Drosophila melanogaster: one gene and its partners. Changing the gene in region 1 together with any one later gene gives a genetic interaction. Each region holds a gene or a part of one and is shown in the gene's direction. Other genes may lie near its edges. The genes, in order: Tl, mxc, Pdk1 and Myd88.

Region 1 (4,844 bases):
TGTGCTTCTCCACTGATGAAAATGAAATCAAATTAAATTTTCGGCACAATTCAAAGTGAAATTTTGCAGCTAACATAAAACAAGGCAAATGAGGAATAAATCTCCCGATGTGTGTCCTGTGCGCTGGGTTTTCCCATGTGGGTACATTGAATGGGAAATTACTGGAATTTCCTTTCGGTCAGAATTACATGCGCATATTTCGGTAATATCTTTGAAATTTACAGTAAATCCTAGGTATTTGAAATGAAAAACACGGGCAGTGTGGCAAATGTGTATATTAATGCATCTTTGCGGGGAGAAGTAGCCATTATGTTGCCTATTAAGCTTATCCAGATTTGCGTTGCTTTGTTTGATTTGACGTAAAGTTATTTGCTTGGAAAGAAAACATCTTAAATCCTTGAAAATTGTGGTGTAAGCCTAGTAGTAAACATTAAAATTGTTGTTGTAATATTTCAACAAATTTATTTAAATTTCAAAGACTTTAGATAATTACCAATTGGGAAATGGAATCAACACAAGATTGCTATGAAAATTGTACATGAATTCAAAGATTATTCATAAGCATGTCCTAATTTTCCATACGCCGTGCATAATTACAGAAAACACAGTTGCAGAGGGATACGATTTCCATTTGCATTTCCCATTCCCCGTCCCTGTCGCACTTCACACGCTGCTCCCCCGGGAGCTATGTCCCATCCTTGTTCCGCATTAGCAGAACGCACTTCCACTTCATTTGAGTCGCAAGCGGCAGAGCGAGAGGGTAGATGTTGTGGAAGTGTGGTTTTAATTGGCACACAACAACAACAGCAAGCAGTCTGCTACGTGCTGGCAATTACATTTTACATTTTACTCAGAGAGAGAGACTAATCAACTAATAAATCCATAATCACTGTTATTACGTATGCTGCCTGAGATGCTTAGACTTTGAAGTTAACCGGTTAAACTTGGCTAACAAGAACTGAGAACTACTGGCCAACAACAACTGCCGGCTTTTCCCCCAAAAATGAAAACAAAACAGTAGAAGGCTCTCTTGCTCTACCACTTTCTCTTATACTCTTATACGAAGTACCTGTATTTCAACTGTTTTCCTCTCTCGCATGACTTTTATCGCATGCGATTTGTTTATAGTGCAACGACCACAGACACGAAGATAATTCGTGTGTCTCTCTCTTTTTCTCCCACGCATCTGTACCTTCGAACGGTATTTGTGGGGTAGAAGAAATTGCTCGACTTATTATATCGTTTGCCACTCAGAAGTTAGGGAAAGAATTTTATTTTTTATAAAAATCCTAGTCAACTAACATAAATCAACTGAAAGCTCGATTCCTCATATTATCACATTGTGTTATTGCTACAAGAACTGTTGTTCTAAAAATTCTTATCAGTACGTCAAAAATATAAAAAAATTTCGAGACTAGCATTTTTATCCAACTCATATTTATTTATAATAAGCTGATTATATATAAAACCCAAACAGCTTTATAGAAATAACTTCACACGTTATTTAAGGTTAAAAAAGTAGCAAGATAGGATGTTATTAAAAGTAGAATATAAAAAATATAATAATAATTTAAAATGTCTTAACAAACTGGAGCTTAAGGAACCAAAAGCAAACAAAATGATATAAAACATATAAAGACTGTGACAAAATTATTAAAATTTAAAATAAAATATATTAATAGGCTGATTACAAATTTAAGTAAATAATGTTTTCTATATTGAGCAAAGGGTATCTTGCCGCCGACTCAGCCACTCTCTCGTCTTTCCCTCCACACTAAGCGCACTACCAGCTCTTCATCTCTCAGTTCTTCTTTCTTTTCGAGTCGAGTTCAGTTTGTTCCGAATCGCCGACGTGAACGCACGCTTGTCGCGCTTGTAGCAGTTGGATTTTTGATTTTCCCAGCCAGAGTCCCGCGTTCGTGTGTTGTGGGCCGCTTTTGTTTGTCTCGTTTTGTGGCCAGCGATTTGGCAACCGAATAAGCCAAGTTAAGAGCAACGCTACGCAGCACAAAATCCATAAAAACAAGAAACACAAGGCGCAATTAAATGCAAATGTGTGAAAGTGTAGCAAGCATTTAACCAAAAATAAAATCGCAAAAAATCGCGGCTTCAAAGTGCGAACAAGCGCGAACAGAGAAGCTAAACAACAGTGCCAGTGCGTGTTTGTTCGTGGCAGCTTAAGAAAAGCCAAATAAATATTAATATTTGCACAAGAGATCGCAGCGGAGTAGCTAACCTCACATTTAATAAAACACGTATTAAAACGGTAAGTATTTACGTCTCCTTGTTCAGTTATTACACTTTGAACCGTGCCATCTCGCTCTGTCTCGTTATCTCCCATTCGATTTTGCTTTGTGCTAAGCTTCGCTTGGCTCGCGCTAAGCTCAGCTATCTCTGTCCCACTCTCTGATCAGTCCAATTCGCCTATAATTGCACAGAAAAAAATTTACCAAATTGATGGCTCATCGGGCAATTGGTTGACATTTTGTTCCAGTTTTGATCACAGTCAGATAAAATCAATTTAAAGTACATAAAATGAGCTGTAAAATATTTGTAAACATCTTTAAATTGATCTATTAATACTACTACTACTACTACTACTACTACTAGTACTCTGCGTAAAACCGTATTTTTTCCTGTGCAAATTGGCGATGAATAACAGTTTCAGCAGTTGTAACCGTTGCACAATTTTCCCCAGTGCTTGTGTGTGTCACACTCTTGTTGTCCACAATTTCCGTGGTTTTTCTCGGCACTTTCCAGGGAAATGTGCAAAATGCTGCAGTGCAGCAGCAAGTGCTCTTCGGCCTTGGGGTGTGCTTTGCGTTTTGGCCAACCCATGAACGAAACAAAAAAGAAAACAAAGCCACACGCATTTGGCCCAAAGCTCACGAGCCAGCATATTAACACTTTGAATTTTTGGCCAAAAACCAGTTTGGAATCGAAAAAACAAACAGACACAACAAAAGTTTATTTACTACCAAAGAGAGCTTCGTTCAACAGGTTTTCATTGCGGGGACTTTTATTCGTATTGAAGGTGGAAATACCTGGGTAATGCAGGTTTCAAAAGTACTTCTAACAAACCAGAAAATGCCCACTTGTGCTTTAAAAGCTAATAAGTTGCTGATTAGAAACAGCAAAACAAAATAAGAGAAGAAGGAAGGGACAAGAATCTTCTCGCTTGTACCAATTATGGTAAAAATCGTATGACCTTATGATAAACTTAGACTTTTGTTTTTAATTCATTTCGATTCTTCTTGGGTTTTCCAACACCATAAATCTCTTCTTAGTTGATAGCCCTTGACCACTAGCTACATTTATATGAAAAATTCGGAAAACCCCAAGATTCAACCCCAAAAGTTCAACGATTATCGCTCAGAAGCAGCAGGTCTTGAATTCAAGAACAATGCTGTTTTAACAATAATTATACAATATATATAAATTTTGATTGTATTTTTTTCCGATAGTTAACATCCTGCCATTGAGCTTCTTTCGCCTGAGGGTTTTCCGAATAACTGTACTCTGGATTTAGGTTAAGATTTTTCTTCTTTGGCCCACATCAAAGGCAAAGAAGCTTTCAAAGCGGCTATAACAATGGCGGCAAACTGAAAAAAAAAAATGCTAGTCTTCGTCTGTGAAGGTAAAACTGCGGAAGTCATTTAACAGTCTACTTAACTTCTGCCAAAAAAAAAAGAAGTGAACGAAAAAAATGAAGTGGAAAACGGCAAACTGCAAACGTTCAAGATGCTCCGCTTGGGTCTTTCGTCTTGGCCACGTTAGAAAGTAGCTGTAATTGTGGCTCCGTTATTGTTATGGCCAAACCGCCACTAGTCCAACTGCAGGCGGTAAAAGTTGCCCAAAATGAATTGTCATACAAACACGTTTGTTATAAATATTTCTGCACAATGAGAGACTCATTTAAGATTCATTGTACTCGCTTTTTTAGTTGTTAGCTTTATTTTTCCCCCTCTCATTATTGAGGGCGTTTGTCCACTCGGTTGATAAGCGAAAAGGCAGAAAAACAATATTCAAAGCTGACTCCGCTTTGGTTTTTACATCTGCCAAGTGTTTTTTAGCTTTCTGCTATTTCACTCTTAGTTATTGGCGACTTGTGTTGATAATTAGCACGTCGGCTTTCAGCGTTTCTATGACTTGTGGTCCGCTCAGCGTGATGAGTCAGCCTCCTAAGCTGAAAAGAGCGTTACGATCGAACCACCATATGTCTTACTCTCCCGATCTCAGATCAGCGGGCGGTTTAACCCAAAGTCAAACCAGATCCGTGACGTAAATGGGAGACAAATACACGCAAAAAAAAAACAAGACTGAAGATCTGAAGATTGTATCTATAAGATCTGTTATTAAAGTGATATGTAATTACATACTACATTCTTATATGATGACTATAATGACTAATATAAACACGTTTTAATATAGTACAAGTTTATATTATATAGCGTAATATCATACTTACCGTATTGTTATCACCTGTTTTTTTTTAACAACTCATTTCTTTTCGTGTGATTTCAACGTGTGAGGTTTTTTACTCTCCAATCAGATTGAACTGAGATAGAACTGCCTGACCAGTCACAGGGCTTATTGCCTTGCATTCAATTAATTAATTTCAATTTTATTGCTTCAGCTGACCATAAAATCGTGAAGGGAGGAATAACCATAAGTTCCCCACTGCGACATTCTCTCGGTGGAGGGAAATGAAGTCGTTGCACTTGCTTTCACCCTAATGCCTTCATCAGCTGCACAAACGAAAAATCTCATTAATTTTCCACTTTCTGTCTATCTTTGGGTTATCTCTCCATTGTTTGTCCCCGTCCCAGTTCCCTTTATGTTCT
Region 2 (7,574 bases), on another chromosome or scaffold:
GTAGATTCAAGTACTTATTGCGCATACTGCTCCAACTAGTCTTGGGTAGCACCTTGAGCTCCAGGGCACTGGGCTCAATGTTTGGCTTGTCCACGATCGCCTTCTTCTTGCGCTTGCGACGGCGCTTTTTGGCAGCTTCATCGCCATCGGTTGCCTCTGTTTTGTCCTCCTGCTCGGAGGCTTCGGCTGTGCCCTCTGCATCCGTTTCACTCGCTGTTTCCCCAGCTGTAGAGGTCTCGCTAGGCTGGCCCTCCTCCAACTTAACCCGTTTCACCTCGTGTATCTCCTCGCGATCCTTGTCGGTGGCCTCCCTTTTTAGATTTCGCTTTGGCAACTCAACCTGTTCAGCCTCTGACTGCGGCTGCTCCGCTTTCTGTTGTATCTGCTGCTGCTGCTGAAAGGAGCGCACACTGGCCAGATCACTGGGATCGGTTTCTACGGACAAAACGCCCTGTATCTGGGCAAAAGCCTTCACAGCTTTCTCCAAGGACCCGCTCTTTTCGAACTCGATAAAGGCAAATTCCTTGATCTTCTTAGTGCCCGGATAGTGGGGCAGGGACACGTAGGCCACCGGTCCGTAGCGGCTGAATACCTCCTTCAGCCAATCGTGAGTGGCATTTGCAGGCAGGGCCTCTACATACAAGGTTTTGTCGTTGACATCGCGCTGATCTGGTAGCTTGGTACGTCGCTTGACCTTTAGTTCGGTCTCATCCAGCTCCAGAAGCTGGGAGTTGCTTAGTGCCTTGGCTATCTGCTGCACATCCTGGGTGAGCGTCTTTATCTTATTGAAAGTGAGAAAGATTTCCAATGGTACATCTGTAAAAGAATAACATGATCAGTGTTATGTTGGCTGGTGAGCCAACCTTAGCTACTCACATGGATCCTGCTCTACGTAGCGCCGAAGGAAGCGATCCTTGCTCAAGTTGGCGTCACCGAAGTAGAATTCCATTTGACCGCGAATCGAATTGAACAAATGCCTCTTCCTTTTGCGTCCACCATCCTTTTTATCCGGCGATGCGTCTTCCGGCGCCGGTTCTTTGGAATTTTCCTCAGCTGGTTCAGTGGGTGCGGCTGGATCGGGTTTCTCCGCTGATGTCGCGGGCTCCTGACCCTCGCCCTTCTCCTTCTCGATACTCTTGGCAGCCATTGAGTGCCAGTTAACCAGTAATCTAAGTCACTCGAATAAAATATTGCACTTGGTTTTTGCGTTCTGATCTATTTGGCAACGCCGTCTAGTTATGAATTGCTGGGATGCCAGGTATTTGCAGCATTCCCATATCGATAGTTTAACGAATATCGGATTCTAAGTACTGTAACGTACACATAAAAACGAATTGAAGCAAGACCATCAAAGCAATAAAAACTGCTATAATTTGTTTTAAGCGAAAGAGACGTATTTCTTTGCTTTAATTATTACCATTATTTCCCACGCTCCTAATAAGGCTTGGCAGCCAAGCGCAAACAACGGGACTATATCGATAGTTCGGCGCTGTGGCAACCCTACTGCGTTGTTTTGGCGGGCGGCAAAAAAAACACAGATGCTATGCTAACCTATGTGTGTTGTACAGTGCGCCGCTAGAATCGGCAACAACAAAACGAAAATAGTCGGCGAATAGGCGAGAAAATGGTTTATTCTCTCTCGAATTAAAGCGCTGATTCAATTCCGACTAACTATTGAGTGATTAAACCTGCAACAGTCAATAATAAGGCATTACAAGTGCGTTCGATAAACCTAAAGTCTTGCAAGCGAAAAAAAAAAGAAAGGCAAGGCGAAAAGCGAGTGGATGGTGACGCTTAGCTGAGTCGGAAAGTCCAGCCATGGAGTCGATTGTCCTGCATTCGGACGTGGCTCGCTTGGTCCTGGGTAGGTTTTCCCTGGACGCTTTTCTAGCTCGCAATATTTATGCTCTTCCATTTTGTAGGCTACCTAGTCAACCAGAATCTAAAAAGGGCCGCACACACTCTGTGTCGCACATCGCCTCACCTGCGCCACGAGTTCCTGGCCCTTAAACAGGGCCTGCAGACGCACAACTTCCTTCACGGGGGTCTGGAGGAGATAATCTGCGAGCATGTCAAGATCACAAGCTTGGGTAAATTAGCACGCTCCTTGCGTTTCTTTTTTTTTGCGGCTGACCGAAAATCTCTCTTTTCAGTGGCCGGTGCCGTGCAGAAGCTGCCGCTGGATATGCGTATGCAGCTGCAGCAGATGAAGCTGTCCGAACGGGTCAGCGAACTGATAGCCGCCGGCGAGAGGAGTAGCTGTACCAATGAAAGCAGCACCCCAGGCGAGCCCACCATATCACAGTCGCATCGCAAGAGAAGGCGCTTGTAATTATAGATTTTTCCTTGACACAAGCACATCGGAATTCTCATTGCTCTCTTACCCCTTTTCCCCAGGCGCACCCATTCTCCCGTGAACAGCATTTCTTCGCCTTCGTTTAGCAAGCGACCGCGTCTGCTGCCGCCACACTTCTACTGCAGCGTTAACCGCGACAAGGTCAGGCAGAGTTTCCTAGGCAGCCAGGATGACTGCGAGGCGGAACTGGACGAAGAGGATGGCGAGAGCACAACGGCCACCGAGGACTTGGAGGAGGATGACTTACTTCCGGCGAATGGTCCTGGTCCGCGCAACAATTCCACGCCGCGCCAAGGTCATACCGAGTCCAATCCACTTCTGCTCACGCCGCAAAGCATGCCTGTAAGTCCATAGACATGCTTAATGCATATCTGCTTAATTAACCAATAGTGCATCTATTATGTATTCTAAACAAAAAACACTCTTTCGATTTACATTGATTTCAGGAACTGGCCTGCGCGATAATTAAGAATCAGGACTTCCAGGAGACGCTGGTAAAGAATATTAACGTAGCGCTGCAGACGGTGACTGTTAACAATCCGTCGGTAAGCTGTGACGCCATGTTGGATGGTCTAGTGAAGAACATACTGGAGGCCACCGAGAAGGATCCCTCGTTCGATCGCATCATACAGGAGGTGGTGATCGGGGATGAACCATTGGCAAATGAGGAGGACCCTGGTGTGTCGCCTGCCTCTGATGCTGCTGGGGCTGCTATTGTTCCCGCTGCTGATGGAGATGTGCTGCCGACAGAACAGGCCGTGGATCCCGTGCCGCCGCAAACACCGCTTATTATTCGCACCGCCGTTGCAGCCACCGCAGGAACCAATGCAGATCCCAATTTCTCCATCTCCAAGCTTATCGTACTGAACTCCAACGAGAGTGTCCAAAAAATGGTTGCTGGTTTGGATACGTCCAATATCAGCTTTACAAGCGAAGGCCTCAATATAAATTTTGCCGATCCAGCGTCAATGCTCAGCGAGGTGGAGGCGACAGCTGCTGGTCAGGTTTGTGTGGACGCCACCACCGGGCAGCTGACGTTTCCCATGTACCTCTCGAACGGTGGACTGCTGTCGCATCTTCCATTCCTGGTGAACAACGAGTGGGTAGCCCAGCAACTTGGGCCGGATGCCTTTGCCAACATTGATGACTCGCACATTGAGATATCGCTGCCGGAGCCGATTACTCTGTCTGCCAATCAGCTGCCCCCCAATTCCATTATCATTAGCAGCGCCCAGAAACAACCACCTCCCCCAAGCGTGGAGCCTCCAGTCCAGTTGATAAAAGATGCAGCCAAAGTGGACAACAAGGCGGGCCAGGGAACGGCGGCAAAAGAGCAACCGATAGATCAACTAGAGGAGGAGCAGCGAAAGTTTCCACCCGCATCCCTGGATTCATCTAGACAAGTCATGGAGAGAGTGACACCCTCGACGTCGGGAATAATTAACGTAAAGGCCTTTCGTAGCTTATCCACTCCCCGAAAGAGAACTTCGCATGTACGAACATTAACTTTTTCCCCTAAGGTTCCTCCTGGTGGCGTCCTGCATTCCAATACGCCGCTGTCCACTAGGCGACCTGGTTTGCTGGCCAAAGCCCAAGAGAAGCCAATTATCAACCATGTGGAGATCATCCAGGCCGCCTGCGACCTGAGCTCAAACGAGGGCCTTGGAGGAGTGCCACCACTCTTCGCCATGGAGGAGTGCAGCAATCAGACGGTGATCAGGGCCCATCCTCCAGCTGCCGCTCCGTCAGCAGCTCCGGTTCCTCCGTTGGTGGCCACGCCCAAAAGAAAACAGAAGCGACAAGCAGCGGTCAAGGCCTGCAAGCGAATCATCTCCCAGGCGGAATCGGAAACCAAGACGGATAAGGATCAAAAGAAAATTATGCCCAAAAATAACTCTGCCTGCAGCGCATCGTCGACCGCTCACGATGACAGCGCCGAGGCCAGCAAAGAGAATCTCCAGGAGCAGCAGAAGATTGAAGGAAAGCCAGATGTAGGCTCCGCCGCCAGAGGAGACGCAGTTGTAGATAACGATATGGCCGCCTGGCAGCGCCAGTTGCATGGCTCCAATTCTGACCTTGAAAATCGGCTGCGTGAGATTAACTCCAAGCGCGAGGAGGTAAAGGCCTCCGGCCGCTCGAGGCGTCCAAAGAAGAAAGATACACCCACTTCAGCTTCGTCGAGAGCACGAAAGGCTCCAATGGTCAAAGCGAAGGCGGAGCCCATGAATCTGGCAAAGAAACCGCAGCGCAGTGTTGGGGATTCCACTGAGAAGATCAACATCAAGATTATCACTCCTCAGAAACCAAAGCTCCTGAAGAAAAAGAAGGTGTTTGAGGCAAAAGAAGAAATCATAGACGAAACCATAGAAGAAACCATAGACGAAACCCAAGCGGAGATCGAGGAAAAGGATCAGAAGAAGAAAAGTGAACAAGGATGCATATATGCAAAGGATCAGGAGCAAGCGAAGGCCTTAGCGGCAGAACTGTCGCGACCCAACATGGCCATGCTTCTGGACACTCCGTTTAAAGCATCTCCCATTGGAGCAGGAGCAAGCGGAGCCGTAGAAGATGACACCACATCAAAGGAAGCTGGTGTTGGTGTAGCCGCTATCATCCCACCCACGCCAGGAATGGCCATTCCACCTCTGGACACGCCATATGGCAAGTTGCCCAGTAGCAGCTTTCTCTTTGGTTCGGATACCAAAAGTATTATGGATACGCCCCAGTTGAGTGCCATCACACCTGGATTTCGCTTGACACCTTTTGGACAGATGCCCGGTACTCCGATAGGCAGTGCTGCCAAGACTGAGTACTCTTCAGGCAGTTCCTATTATCGTCCGGATGAAGCGGAACACACCGATGCGAATGCGCAGTGCGCAATACAACAGTGGGGTGATCCGCAGGATAAGAAACAACCCAAGGTTCGGTCAACGCCCAAGAAGAAAAAGGTTGAGGCAGAGGATGAGCTTTCGCAACAGAAGAATCAAGAGCTAATAGAAATGGAGTGTTCAAAGAAAAGCCTTCATCCGGAGGACAAACATGCTGAGGACAATAAGAAAACACCGAAAAGACCAGAGAAGCCAATGGATGAACATCTGAAGGAAACTGAAAACGATGGTGAAAAGAATGAAACGGTTTTAGAAAAGACACCAGATGCTGTGAAGCAACCCGTTGTCCTGTCCTTGGAGCCCACCGTCCTTCGACGCGTTCGATCCTTTGGCAGTGAGGCGGTGGACAGTGCGGAGTCCGCTACAGCTGGCTCATTTCCCTCCGATCAGCAGCAGCTTCCGCACTATAAACTTTTGCCTGGCCTGCCCGAGGCAATTATTGAAGGATCTAGTAATTCTAGCTCCTCGGCAACCAGTTCATCGTCCTCATCCAGTTCGAGCTCAAGCTCCTCCAGTAGTTCATCATCGAGTTCCTCATCCTCGTCAAGTTCTCACAGCGGAAAGGGGGAAAGCAGAGGGGAAGAGGCAAATGGCGAGAATGCCGACGAAAAGTGCAGCAAGAAAAAGGAGATGCTACTAAACATAGATAACTTATCGAACATTAGCAGCACGGAAGACGAAGAGTGGCTGAAGGCAGCCGGTTCTGAGGATGCAGTTCTGCCCATGCTTGCTATCGACAGTCAGCCAGGTCAGTTAGTTAGCCAGGACGGGGAGGTCCGCTATCCTATCCGGAATTGGCTGACACCAAGCAAAGAGCAGGCCCAGGAGACGGATACCAGTGGAGAACAGCAAACAAAACCTACACCTCCTAAACCGGTGGCTGCTCCTGTTCCGCCTCCGCCGCTTCCTCTAACACCGCCAGCTGCTCCTCCGCCGCCTCCACCGCCTCCGCCAGAGGCGGACGATCCTTCATCCGTCGCTCTTCCAACGGCCTCTACAAGCCGTCAGGAACACCAACGCCAGCAGCTGAATGAAAAACGCCAACGTGTAGTGGCCAAGTTTAAGGAGCAACCCCAACCGATCAAAGGTCAAGGGAGAAAGACTGCCAACAAGAAGCTCACTGCAATGCGTGAAAATGCCAAACTGGCCAATCCAAGCAGTCAAAAATCGCCAAAAAATCGAAAGCACATCGAACCACTGAAAACAAAAGCAGCTAAAAAGCAAATAGAACCAAATCCGAATGTTAAGTCCACAGAGGCTACTGGTCCGCCAGTCGGTGCCGCCACAGATGCGCCAGCAGATCCGCCAGCCGGCAAATTGGATCCCGCTCTGCTCATGGCCCTCAATCTATCTGCGAAAAAACAGGAATCATTACCGATTGTAATCAAACCAAAGGTAAATCGAGCAGCGGTTGAAATTGCGGCACAGCCTGCCCCTGGAAAACGTGGACGCCCGAAAAAGGTACAGAACGGGGAGCCAGCCAATCTCTGTATGCGACGATCCTCGCGCCTAGTCGAAAATAAAAGTAAGTAGTTAAGATCCAATCGAATGGGTATTGAAACTAATATATTGTCTTTGCAAAACTAGCTCCTGCTCCGGAAGATCTCTCCAAATCCACTGAAGGAGCAAAGACGAAGACCCAAATCAAGGCAAATACCAAGAAACCGGCCAAGAAACGTGTCGAGGCAAGGGTACCCTCCTCCACAACCGATGCTCCGGCACTGCCCATTGTAGCGGAGGCGGAATCCACCCAAAAATCTCCAAAGCAAAAGCCGCAAATTCAGCAAACAATACAAGAACCTAAACAGGATCCACCGCCATCGAAATGCGATTCGGAGCCCGATGACAGCGACTTCGAGCAGGACATGTGCCTGAGCAGCAGCCAGGAGCGTTTTACCTATAATTTCACATATGCGGACAACGGACCAAAGTCCAGCAATCCGATGATACGTCAGCCATCGAGCTATTTCAAAAGCTATCAGATGCGCTTGATGACCGATGACGAACAGCTGCATACGCTGCGCATAGCCAGTGCCCAGGTGCTCTGTCTGGGCCAACCGGTGGCCAGCGCCATTCGCAATATACCCAAGAAGCGGATACGCCGCCTGACCGGCAATAGTGGCGGGACAGCGGCAACAGGGGGAAGTGCAAGTGTAAGTGGAGGAAGTGGAACGGGAGCGGAAGTTGCTGCTGCTGGCGAACAGCCTTCGGCCACGTCTACGCCGCTGGTGGAGAAGCCCCCATCCAGGAGTGGGCCGCAAGATGAGGAAGATCTGGAGGTGGCCACCATGTAAGTGGTGAACATATGCATTTTATTTTTTGTATGCTTA
Region 3 (4,984 bases), on another chromosome or scaffold:
TTAAACAAATTGAGGACGAATCGGCGGGTCCATTGATGTGTAACTCTGGGATACCGACGGGTTTAATAATGGGCAACTAAATGAGAGCTCCGAGGGTTCCGAACCGGTTCGTCTGCCAAGCTTAGCTTCCAAGCGGGGGGAAGTCCAGCAATTAGAAAGAAACTGGTGCACAGCCCACCGTTGATGACTAAATCAGCTGGGATTTCGTGAAATTAGCTTTTTATACTAAGCGCTTGGCTGAAAATATATGCAAATGGGATTTTAAAAATATTTTTCAGGCGACATTGTGTCTCGCCGAACCTCGATTGCTGCCCATTAAAAATGCTAATTTCAAATATTTTTTAGCAGAAAGCAAGAAATAAATTAGCCACAAAATGCTAAAAGCAGAGGCCAAATAAAAACGATTTTAACTAAGCCACCGAACTCGCTAAGGGTGAGACAAATTAAATTGAATTTGATTATTATATAAAATAAAATAGGTAAGAAGAAAATTCGCGACCATTTCTAAAATATGCAGTCAAAGTTCATTCGATGAAGACGAATTGTAATTTTCATAGATTTATTTGAGCCTAAACGCCGTTCAGTTTGAATGAGTGCTTATCACAAGTACACAAAAACTAAAGAAATATTACTTATATTGCTAATTGATAAGGTCTTTGAATATTAAATGTGTTTATTAAACTGTGTTATTTAAACTACGCAGCAATTCACAAGTAAGTCTTTAAACAAATTAAGCTAGGAAATTTAAATAATACATAAATGGAAACTCAACCAAATATAGAAAATAACAGGAATAGAACTAATATTTACAATATTTCTTAACAAGATAAAAAACCATAACAGGAACAGAACTAATATTTACAATATTTCTTAAAGAGAAAAAAAAACAAAGTGAGAGAAAAACTTGATGACGAAAGCGTCGGCATCCACGTCAGCAAAGCCAAAGCAACTGCAGTTTCCGCTTCCCCTTAATTTTGTTTTGTTTTCGCTTCGTAGTAAAACGTAAAAACGAGAATAAAACCGTGAGCGGGAGCGGGAGCAGCAAGTGAATTTTTTCACGCTGGGTGGAAAAGGCGCGCGAACGTGACGGAACGCCGGAAAGTTGTGGAACAGGCGATGTGAATGAATTGTGGAACGCGTTTGTGTAGAAGGCCTTACACTTATGCTAATGTGGAACCCAGAGTGCGGATCAACGAACGATCCGTGCGCGAAGAGAGCGGGAATAGTTTAAATTCCAGAAAATGCACATTTGTACACATACATACATACATAATTGCCTTGGAAGTTTACGACAGCGACGTTGTCCACAATTTCATTTTATAGATGGGGGCGTGGCACTGATGCATGATCTTGATGGAATTATGTACCTATGTATGTATGTATGTAAATGTAAGCAAGATTCGTTGCAGTAACAACAAATAAGTGGATGAAAACAAGTGCGTCACTTACTCATTAATAAATAAATAATTAATGGGCGGCGCATTCGAAATGTAAAAGAAAACGCAAATAGCTTGCCCACTCGCGGCAATAACGGAACCGTGACTTGCAAATCGGTGAAATGAATAGGATATGCATAACTGTTTTTTCGAAAGACCTGCAAATAATTCAAGAAAGTTCCAGAAATACCCAAATTTAATAGCTATCCAACATTAGGGTGACAATAACGTGTTTCAACAGATGCAATATATACGCAAAATCAAAGAAAAACAAACAAAACCCGTTAAAAACTAATTATTTAAAAAAGAATACAAAAATATAAATTTAAAGCTAACTTAATAAAAAATAACATAATTTTCCCATTATTCATGTGTCGATTAAAACTCAAATGAAAATTCTTACACTTCTCCGCACTCTTTTTTACCCCATAACTCTCTATCTCTCTTCCAGTTCTCCGCGCTCACGATTTGGTAACTGTGGCCCAATGCCGCCGTTCCCAGTTTAGCGCGCTCTCCTTGCCTTTTCTTTCGCCTTTTCGACTCATTTCGAATCGGAAATTTGACGGGTTCGGTCGTAATCACGGATACAAATTTGACGCCCTGTTGGAAAAACCACAACGTCCAATTTTCCTTTTATCGCGCCAAAAAGAAATGCGAGTAAGACCCGAGTCTTCGTGTATACGTATAATTACCATTTGCAATCACAAAGGTTTTGCAACTGTCGCCGGGCGGTGAAAACTCAAGTGAATAAATATCGCAAAGTGAAGCAAATAAAAAAATATTACAAAAACCGGTAAAACGAAATGAAACTGAAATGAGTGAGGGCAGCAACTTCAAGTGACGAAAGCAATCCGTTTACCGTTGTCTTTGCCTCTTCATCCTCCCCGAGAACGGCGGAGAACGCGAAAAATATCATGAAATGTAAAAGCTGGTCCAACAAAATTAACAACTACGTTGTGCGCAAAATAAAGTCTATCAAGGTAAATAGTGTCTTAAAAAGGTGCGGTGTTTGGCCCTGATACATATATACTTATATTTATTTAAATTTTGATTAAGTGAATATATCTTATGAGGCTTATGAGACTTGTTAAGGTGTTAAAAAATAAGTTTATAGCATAGATATGGGGTAATGCGAAAGTACAATTTGTTAAAGTTGTTTTTAATTAAAATAATTTAGTAAAACTTTTTTTACAAACTACAAGTAATGCTTTCGAGAAAATACCTCCCATCAATTTTATCGTTAAATTACACAAAATTGTTCTTGGAAAAAAAAATTGAATTGGTTGTACAAATTTTTGTTTACAAAATACAAAAGCTGCAAAATAATTTATTGACATGAAATAATGAAATACTCATAAAGCTGTGAAATTTAATGTTTGAGCTATATAGCAAAAAAAAAAAGTATTTTTACTTTTTGCAATTCTTGTTACCAATAAATTTAAATATTTCCGTACATTTCATCTAAAAAATTTCCATTGACAACACATGCTGGTATAATATATAAAGATCAAAGCCATAAACTCCTCACTAAGTGGGCAATAAAATAAGATAATTCAACGACTGTCTGTATAACAACCACTTTAAAAGCTATCTAGATGGAGTTGATTATGAATACATTTTCAGATGCTTATATTACTCGACATAAATAGGCAGTGGATGTGTATAATTATTTTGCAGGCACCCGACAACGAAAATAAAATGCATAAAAAAGTTTAATGAAGCCGCAGGGGTTGACTAAATTTATTTAACAACTGCAGTTCATTGCCTCGCAAATTGCTTGATACTTTAAAAACAACAACAAAAATTCACAGCAAAAAAACACAATGATTCCAGCTGGTTTCTAAACAACAATTTATTGTGGTTTCTTTTACTTTTAATTGCTATCTATTAGCAGCAACCAATAAATGAATTATTTATTTTATTTTCTCTTGCAAGCAGCCAAAAGTAAAATTATGCCCCTCTCTCTCCCGATCCGAGTTCATCACTTTGTCTTCTTTTAGCTGTTTTTATTTTGCAAATAACTTGAGTAGTGGATGGGAAACAACGCAAAGGCCTTTCACTTGCATGTCTGTTGCTCGGTTTGTTGTCATTAGGTTTACTGTTGTTGTTGCACACACTCATCCGCTTACATACCTCGTTTATATACTTATTTACATTTGAAGTTGCCGTCGTTGGTATGTTTTACTACGTATCAGCTTGTCCGCTTTGAGCTGCCCCTTCGCTTTTCAAGCATTTTGTTTTGTCCGCTCTGTTTTTCAGCTATTCCAATTCTCTTCCTTCGTTGCCCTGTGTATGTATTCGTAATCGGGTTCGGATTCTTGTTTATTTTTACACCACTTCTCTTTCTCTTTCGCACGAAAATTCCTCGAATTCTTTTTTATCCATATTTTCCTTTTCCAGCGGGAAAAACGAGTTTTTCCAGCAGCGCCGCATTCTTAGCCTGTCGCCTTGTCTCTTTCCCACTTTTATAGTGTCTCCGCTTCTTGCTTGTTTACAGTTAGGAATGCGGTCGTCTCCCCTCTCTCTCTCTCTCTCTCTCTCTCTCTCACTCTCTCTCTTCAAAAAGAGCGTGCGCTCTCTTTGGCCTTATGTAGTTGTGTGGATTTCGACTGAAACTTGTTTTCGCTTTGCCCCGTCGTGTTTATTTATAAAAAGTCACTGGCAAACAATTACAGTGCAACAATTACGCTCTCAAAAGTGGCGCGCAACTTGTTCGCCTTGTAAAAAAAATTGTGACGCCAGCGGCGACACGACTGCGCTGCTTTGGCCCCATTTAACTGAGAGCGCCGAGGGTTAGCTTGGCGGGGGCGGCAACGCCAAAGAGAGTTCTCTCGGGTGGCGCTCGTCTCCCATCGGTTTCGCTGCTCGAGCCAAATGCTTGGAAGTCAAAGTCTCGCCCGACCATAGTTTCTTATTGGATTTCAAACCAGTCGCTTCGTGCACGCGGCGTTCGACTACGCACACACACACACCCATAGCGCGCTGGCATTGATATACATACACAGGCAAATACACGACGCCCCAAGTTCGTGTGATGTAGTGCTGTAGTGGTGCGATTAAATAATACTCCACAAAAGGCCAAATAAATTACATAAAATCTAAATCGGAATAAAAATAAGTGTATTCTCCCTCCGTGTTGTGTTCAAAGTATTTAACCGATTGTTTTCATTAGTCAAATTAATGTAGTACAACGTATGAGTGTGAGCCAGTTCCTAGAAAAATAAGAGGGCATAAAAAATAACAGACACATACAGCGTCTCGTTTCTTATAAATTTTCCTACTGCGTCGGAATTATTGTCTTGATTATTGTTGTTTCTGGCGAACTTTTGTGATTTGTTTCGAGAAACATACTGCGGCGGTTTCATAATTGTGCAAATCAAGGGAAGCACAATACGAATGTTAAGAATCAAAGCTAAGAATTAAATAAAATTAAAGCCGCACACATACATATACACAGGCACGCGCAGAGTCGAAAAAATACGCGCGCTCGCTCTGTACAGTGTGTGCGTGTACGCGGTGGCTGGCTCTTCTTCTTCATTCGTGTGCCC
Region 4 (7,999 bases), on another chromosome or scaffold:
GGAAATATCTTAAAAACAAACAAATTTTTGTTTTTCCATTCAAAACTGATACGGTTAACTCTTAACTAAAAACTGGCTAAATTATTTGCAATAAATATCTGATTTAAGAGCACATGTTTCAGGTAAATTACGTGATTTTATAGTTGGACAGTTTCAGCTTTTCCTTACAATTAGTTTTCTCTGTATACGAATTTATTTGTTTTTAAGCCATTTGGCGAGCAGGGAAGCGGAATTTCAATGGCGGGCAGGGCGAAAACAAATGGAAAGCTTTAAATTAGCTCAATAAATTGTAAACTTAAACATTTAATCTACTTAGAGCGGGTCGTTGTTAAATGCAATGCAAGTACATCTGGGACAAAGAATCACACACCTCATTCAGATTTGTAAGATACGCATTTTGGCCCAGAAAGCCATTCGAATTTGACCACAAATACACACAGGCTAAAACAGAGGCTAAAATAATCAAATTTGTCGCCAGGCAGTCACAAAGGATATTTAGTATATACAATCAAACAACAATATACTTAGTAATTGCATTTAACACATGGGGCAGAGCATATCCACTAGGTTTGCAAAATTGATTTAACTGCATGCTTAAACTAACGAAAGTAAAAAGGAGATTAACTGAATGAAGGAGGTAGGGGAGACCTAATTAAAAGAACACAACTAATGTCTATATTTATGGCTAGCTAAGTGTAAAAATGTAAGCTGAATTATTATACAAACAACTACAATCGAAGCAAGTAAATTGATGTAATTGAAATACTCGAAACGTTCTAGGGCGAAATACCAATGAATATTGAATAATGACACAGGTTAAACACAAACACGCAGCAAGCATAAATTAATGAATAACGAAATTATTTCTCGAGAAAAAAATCAAACTTTTTAGCCTTTGAACGAGAGACTTTTGGTGCCCAATCCAGTTTGAGCAATTATTTACAAGTGAAAAATGAACGAAATACAAAGAAAGACACACAAACCACACCACACACAGGCAGATGTATTGTAAATAGAGCCACAAACAAACCAAATGAGTAAATACCAAGTAGGTACATTAATAACTAATGATGGGGCTTATCCGAGTAAATCAACATTAAATAAATTAACAACGGAATTCAAACAAAAGCAGGTAACTTCAACTTCAACTTGTGTGCAAGGCATCAACTTTTACTGTTAATTGTTGCTGGCAATGCAAAACGCAACGCCGACCGAAAAACGAAAACTACAAAAATAAACCATGAAAAAGCAAAACAAATATATTTAAAATACATTTGAACGCCTTCAGCGTTTTATTCATCAAGCAAAGCAAGAAATGTTGAATCGAAAGAAAAAGTCAAACAAAGCCATAAAAGCGATAAATCAATTTGTGTCACCTGTGTAGTAAGTATATCTCAGTATTTGTAACTGAAAATGAAAAGCGTTGAGGTGCAGGCATCAACCACACAAAGAACAAACAAAATCAAATGAAAATAAACTGAATTTACAAGTGCTCTCTGACTATTATTTACGAGAGTGTGGTCCTTGGTTGGCATGTTCATTTCCCCACATTATCGTCTCAAATCAGTTGATTTCGGGGAAGCAATATTTCTCGGTAAAATGAGTAAGTATGTCTTGGACAGGTCGAAATGTAAAATATTCCTTTTTGAGGCACCATTAAAGGTACCATTCTCTGCATAACTGAAAGGAGTTAGATTGCCTACATCAGCCGGTCGAATAGGAGAGTGCGTTTTTACTCACTTTACTACTCTTCTTGCTTTTGCACTAGCAAGAAATCATTATCAATTATGCTTATGAATAATTAGGAATCCTACGGCAAGAACCAACGTTCCTAAATTATATTTAACCAACCGGAAATTAAGTCAACCACTCTTAGAGCGCCATCTGGTGAATGCTTTTGGAACCTATTAAAGTGTGGCCCGCGCACCAAAAATACCGCAACCGATAACTGGCCCCGATAAAGTACCAAACCTCGCCGATGACTGGCCACCCGAAAAGCTGTGACTCGCCAAGCTTTTGCCCATCGATCGCCACGAGCTTATCGGAATCGCGATCTGATCTGAAAAGTGGGAACGCAGCGCAGATAAATTAATTAGCAATTAGCCAGTGCAAACAGAGTGTTGTCAGCCGACTAGAAAAAGCAGCTGAGCTGATAGTTCCGCCTGTGGCCCCCGCGCTTTCGCCCTGCATCGGAACGAAACCAAAATAAACAAGCGAGTGAAAGGCGGTGGAGAAAGAGCGCGGGAGAGTGAGCGCGAAGAGTAGTCCGTTGGGGAGGAGGCGGAGGAGGAGCGGACAACGAGGCAGAAACAAAAGCACAAACGGCGGACAGAACCAGTCGAAACAAAACAACAAACCGGAGCGGACGCACTCGAAAAAAGCGAAACGAATTTATTTCTGTGCTTAGGGCGACACTGTGTGCGTGCGCCACTGATTGTGAGTGTGTGTGTTGTGTATATTTAAACAATATTCAAAAAATCATACGCCAGACGAATAAAAAACGCGACGAAAACGAAGGCGAAGATCTCCATCTCCTCTCGCAGCGGAGCAGACAGATAAATAAAAACAGAATCCGAGACAGCAACAACAACGCGACTGTGACGCGGCAAGGTGCTGGAGGTCACTCGGTCCATTTCGCACCGCACTGAAGTATAGAAGTTTAGCAGTAAAGCACCACCCCCTTCTAACCAGTTTCAGCTTCATCCGCCCGCAAAAAACAAAAAAAAAACAAGCACGCGCGATCGGAAAACTCGAAAAAATCTACAGAGCAGCACAACTCACGCGCTTCATCGTTTTATTGCTCGCCGCCCTCTCGACTGATAAACGTCAGTTGATAAATATATATCGCATCACATCGCATCCACACTAAAACAAATACGCCAGCAAACAAACACCAATTATTCCAATAAAGCCAGCGCCAAGTGCGAATGCGCCCTCGATTTGTATGCCATCAGCAGCACTCGGTGGCCCATTCCCACTACCAGCCCCACTCCCACTTCCATCACCATACCCACCGCCATCCCAATCCGCCCCATCACCATCACATTTACGGCGCCACTGACGTCAGTTATCGGCGTTATCGCACCGCTGGCATGGTGGTGGCCGAGGGAGTTATGGACTCCGGGTCGGGATCGGGCACGGGAACGGGCTTGGGGCACTTCAACGAGACCCCATTATCCGCACTGGGCATCGAGACCCGCACCCAGCTGTCCCGCATGCTGAACCGCAAGAAGGTGCTGCGATCCGAGGAGGGCTACCAGCGGGACTGGCGCGGCATCTCGGAGCTGGCCAAGCAGAAGGGATTCGTCGACGAGAACGCCAACAATCCCATGGATCTGGTGCTGATCAGCTGGAGCCAGCGGAGTCCCCAGACCGCCAAGGTGGGCCATCTGGAACACTTCCTGGGCATTATCGATCGGTGGGACGTCTGCGACGATATCCAGGAGAATCTGGGTAGGCATTAACTATTTTTTACTTATGGTAGTCGCTATCTATCTATAACTAAACTATGTCACTTGAGTTTTGAGTATCATTTGTTTTAGATTAGCTTTTAAATGATGGTCTGACGATTCGACTTTTACTTCAAAATGCCATCGTGACAGTGAAAATTTAGTTAAACGTCTAGACTAACTATGTATGTTTGACTGTTCTCGAGTTTGCGAAGTTGAAGAGGAATTTTAAATAATGTACTTATCAAATGATATGTACACAAATGTTGGAAATCGGAAAATGAACCATTAAATTTTACTTTAATGGCGAGCCACACTTATCAATTATTTTTGGCTGATCCATTTTTGGTTTTATGACCGGAAAAGCCGTTTCGAGTTTATAAAAATGGACGTGGTAATCTATATAATATAGGGAGTATATGCAGAAAGCGTACATATTTAACTTATCTATCGCACATTTATCTAAGTCAAACAAAGCTTATCGTCGGATACATAAAACTATTGAGTTATGATGAGTAGATACGTAATGACAGAAATAAAAGTCACCCACTTTCCCATGATTAATTTGTGTTTATTTCTATTTATTGTCAAATAAAACGCTTCGACTTACAAGATTTTTATTACCACATCCCGACAAATTGAAAAACACACAGCCATAAAGAAAAAATTCAAAACAATAATTTCTAAAAGCCGCAAACAACAGAACTTAAACTATAGAAAATGCCAATCAGTTAAGAACGAAATTTTCTTATTTATTTGCACAATGGGGATTCACCCAGCAAAAACTGTTGTCATTAATAAAAAACCTCGAACAGTCAATTTTGTTTAGGAGCAGATGTTGTATAGATATATTCGTTGTGACCAAAATGGTTCGATTTAAAAACAAATGAACGCACTCGGAAGTTGAATGCTTAAGGTATAAAAAAGCACACATAATTAAAATCGTATTAGGAATTTTTCAAAGGAAATGTTTGAATTCCTTTTCTAATGATCTTTCATTGGGTGTTTTAGAAATATTCCAATAAAACTAAAAATAACTAAAAAAGTAAATTTTTTATAAATGTGTCGTTGATGATAACTGCTTGAATCTAGAATTCACTACCTCTTACTAGAATGATCTTTTCTGCTGACAATATATTTGGAATAAAAAGATGGGGAGACAATGGCAGACATCTGAATGGATATATGCATACACTTATCTATTCATACATAATATTGAGTTACAAATCATAAATACTACCAATTTGTTATGAAAGCTTCATATATTAGCGACTGTGTGCAGAAACTCAGATAAACTTCACTATGCCATTCCTTTAAGCTCATTATATATCAACAAAGGGTTATATTTATTATTTAATAAACATAATTTAAGTAATTTGATTTTGACATTAACATGTATAAATTGTGTTGTTTACTTTACGAATGATGTGTTAAGAAAACTTTTTGTGCGGCCTTGTAGTTTTTAGCAATCATAATCCCTTTAGTAAAACTGTTTTAATTTTGCTCTCCTCAAAAGCCAAGGACACCCAGCGCTTCATCATGAAACAGGAGCAGCGACAGACTGCTCTCGTGGAGGCGTGTCCGCCGCCCCCCAGCGACTGCTTCGAGACCAACAACAACTACAGCAGCAGCAACAACATCACAGTGGGCCAAAGTGTGCAGATCCTCAGCGACGAGGACCAGAGATGTGTACAGATGGGCCAACCGCTGCCCAGATACAACGCATGTGTTCTGTACGCGGAGGCAGACATCGATCATGCCACCGAGATCATGAATAATCTAGAGTCTGAGCGATACAATCTCAGGGTGAGTGGGATGCGCTCGGTTGCTGTGTGTTGTATTAAATAACCATGGGATCGTTCTATTGCAGCTATTCCTGCGCCACCGCGACATGCTAATGGGCGTTCCGTTCGAGCATGTCCAGCTATCCCATTTCATGGCCACCCGCTGCAATCACCTGATCGTCGTGCTCACAGAGGAGTTTCTTCGGAGTCCGGAGAACACGTACCTCGTGAACTTCACCCAAAAGATCCAGATTGGTGAGTAGCTGATACGCATTTGTATCGCAGAGCCAGAGTCGCATTACAAGTTCAACGATCTGACTTTCCCCAGAGAATCACACTCGCAAGATCATACCGATTCTGTACAAAACGGACATGCACATACCCCAGACCCTGGGCATTTACACGCACATCAAGTACGCCGGGGACTCCAAGTTGTTCAACTTCTGGGACAAGTTGGCTCGTTCCCTACACGATCTGGATGCCTTTTCGATCTACTCCACGCGCCAGGTGCAGACGTAAGTGTTGCTACTTCCTGCGATATATGTATATGTATGTGTTCCAAAAATACTTGATACATTTTTAGGGGTATAAAATCTCAAGATAATGTAGATTGCTAGCCAACAGATAAATGAGGTTTGCAAACTGAATACGAATACATGAAGTAGTCTAGTCATCCCAATTTAAGAAGCTGTTTTAGAATACATTTTATTAGCTTAAGTTTTTGATTTTACTGTTCAATTATTGCTACTGCTGGTTGTAGGGGCTGCGAAATCGTTTCACAACATTCACATAAAATGTGCAAATGTATACCAACTGCTTGTAAACAAAATATATAAGCAAATATCACATGGCGTACGAGCGATCAACCTTAGAACAGCCTAGCAGGTATTTTTATTTAGTTTTGCTAAATTCAAAGAAGATACGTTTGTTTCAGAAAGATGAACTCATACGACTTTTAAAGTGCCCAGGAAGTAATACACTGCATATGAGTAATCAAATTTGAAACAAATTTATAAACAGGAAATAAATGTATTATATATCTGGGCGTAAGATTATATTGAAGCGAAATTAGTTTTGCTGTTAATTGTAAAACATGTTGGAATTTTATCACTCATATCATAAATTTGGCATTCTCTAAAATTTCTTTATGCAGTCCCTCGCCGGTGGAGGAATCGGCTCCCCGGGTGACCACTCCCAGCATTCGGATTCAGATCAACGACAAGGATGTCACTGATATGCCAAACTACAACAGCTGCAAAGTGCCGGAGGCGGAGACCACAATCGTTTCGGTTTCCGGTGACACCGGCTCACCCCTGCCGGAGCACAAGCCGAAGAAAAAGGATCGCTTCCTGCGCAGAATCACGCACAGCTTTGGAAAGACGGCGCGGAGCGATGGGGCCAGCGGCAAGACTCTGCGTCATGCCCACTCCGTCAGCACCATAAATGTCACGGAACGCGAGAGGACACTCAGTGCCAGCAGCTCCAACATCTCCACCACGTCGGAGAGCAAGAAGAGCTTCATCAAGTGGCAGCCGAACATCCTGAAGAAGGCCCTATTCTCGCGATCCAGCAGCAAGCTGCAGACGCCGGGCTGAGATCATAGTGTTAGGATAGCCATTCATTCGATTTCTCGATTCTTTGATTCCTTGTCGTGTGCCCAGTCTAGTTGTGGCCGCCCAGTCACCAATGTCGTCACCCTCCATGCCTAGTGATAATCTTTAGCCTAATCCTTATCAAGTCAACTAACTTAATATACTTAGACGCACTTGTTAACTTATATAAGACAACAACGAATAAAGACAATACCACATATCCGCACAAATGTATCACAAAAGCACACAGACTACCAAATACGACACGATATTGCTATATGCTCTATGTATATGACTCTGGACTTGATAAACAGACAAATTGGCAATTGCGTTGAGTGAGGTTAAATACGCGACACTGCTAATCGAAGTGCTCAATTAACTGTTAGTCACGCGTTCGATAAGTGACTTACTTAATTTAATTATCTCGCGCGCCGTTCTCGCAACTCAGACCCCATCTGAGAATGAGTAATGAGCATATATAACGCATACGTACATATGGCTGCATTGTGCGAGCAGTGCTTTATCATTTTGTAAACTGCTCAAGCCGTTTTAGACGATTGCTAGCAATAAGTAAACTGTTTGTTCTCGGTACCGCCATCGGCTGGTTGCCTCATGTGATTAGCTCTAGCCTAGCTGTTACCGATTGTTACTGATTGCTGTGAATGCGTGCCCATATGCCTGATGTGCACCTAAGCACACTCACTTGTTATAAAGCAAAGACTATCAATACGTCATCCATCATCACATCGTCTCTTTCAATGTATCTAGAGTCTATATAGTATTATATGTATCTCCGGACAGTGCGTTTCAAAACCATATAGAGTCGATCGACAACCATATATTATGTCCAACTTTTGTCAAGCGACAACGAATGTGGATAAAACGCAATATACATATGTTCCTCAATGTCGGGCATCGAACGCTCGAACTTCGACCTTCGCGACACGTGGCACTTGGCGGTCATGGTTATGAAACGCACTGTATCCATATCGGAAATAAGCTAGCTCCAGTTGAGCGGCAATAAACTGTTCAATGTTTGGCTCAATAATTTATTGTTGAATGTAGACAACCTTTAGTTCGTTCATGTTTAATAAACATTGCAGTTGATGTGTGAATCCCCGTATATGTATTTACATACAGTTGTTCGCGTACATATTGAGTGGAAATGTTTATC

Evidence for each region.
Region 2: of Tl (region 1) and mxc, changing one suppresses a phenotype caused by changing the other (phenotypic suppression), as found in Drosophila melanogaster (one study listed by BioGRID).
Region 3: of Tl (region 1) and Pdk1, changing one suppresses a phenotype caused by changing the other (phenotypic suppression), as found in Drosophila melanogaster (one study listed by BioGRID).
Region 4: of Tl (region 1) and Myd88, changing one suppresses a phenotype caused by changing the other (phenotypic suppression), as found in Drosophila melanogaster (2 studies listed by BioGRID).

The regions. Positions count from the first base shown.
Region 1 is NT_033777.3:26,797,215-26,802,058, forward strand, and holds the start of Tl (toll), read left to right. Parts: upstream 1-1,826; 5' UTR 1,827-2,266; intron 2,267-4,844. UniProt on the Drosophila melanogaster protein: Receptor for the cleaved activated form of spz, spaetzle C-106. Binding to spaetzle C-106 activates the Toll signaling pathway and induces expression of the antifungal peptide drosomycin.
Region 2 is NC_004354.4:9,237,449-9,245,022, reverse strand, and holds the start of mxc (multi sex combs), read left to right. Parts: upstream 1-1,555; 5' UTR 1,556-1,818; coding exon 1,819-1,864; intron 1,865-1,922; coding exon 1,923-2,090; intron 2,091-2,153; coding exon 2,154-2,328; intron 2,329-2,397; coding exon 2,398-2,698; intron 2,699-2,802; coding exon 2,803-6,769; intron 6,770-6,831; coding exon 6,832-7,534; intron 7,535-7,574. Other genes in the region: Larp7 (La related protein 7), read right to left, coding at 1-816, 877-1,147.
Region 3 is NT_037436.4:127,473-132,456, forward strand, and holds the start of Pdk1 (Phosphoinositide-dependent kinase 1), read left to right. Parts: upstream 1-1,977; 5' UTR 1,978-2,350; coding exon 2,351-2,416; intron 2,417-3,257; exon of another isoform or gene 3,258-4,099; intron 4,100-4,339; exon of another isoform or gene 4,340-4,984.
Region 4 is NT_033778.4:9,302,723-9,310,721, reverse strand, and holds Myd88 (Myd88), read left to right. Parts: upstream 1-1,999; 5' UTR 2,000-2,927; coding exon 2,928-3,453; intron 3,454-4,965; coding exon 4,966-5,255; intron 5,256-5,319; coding exon 5,320-5,488; intron 5,489-5,561; coding exon 5,562-5,748; intron 5,749-6,386; coding exon 6,387-6,828; 3' UTR 6,829-7,899; downstream 7,900-7,999.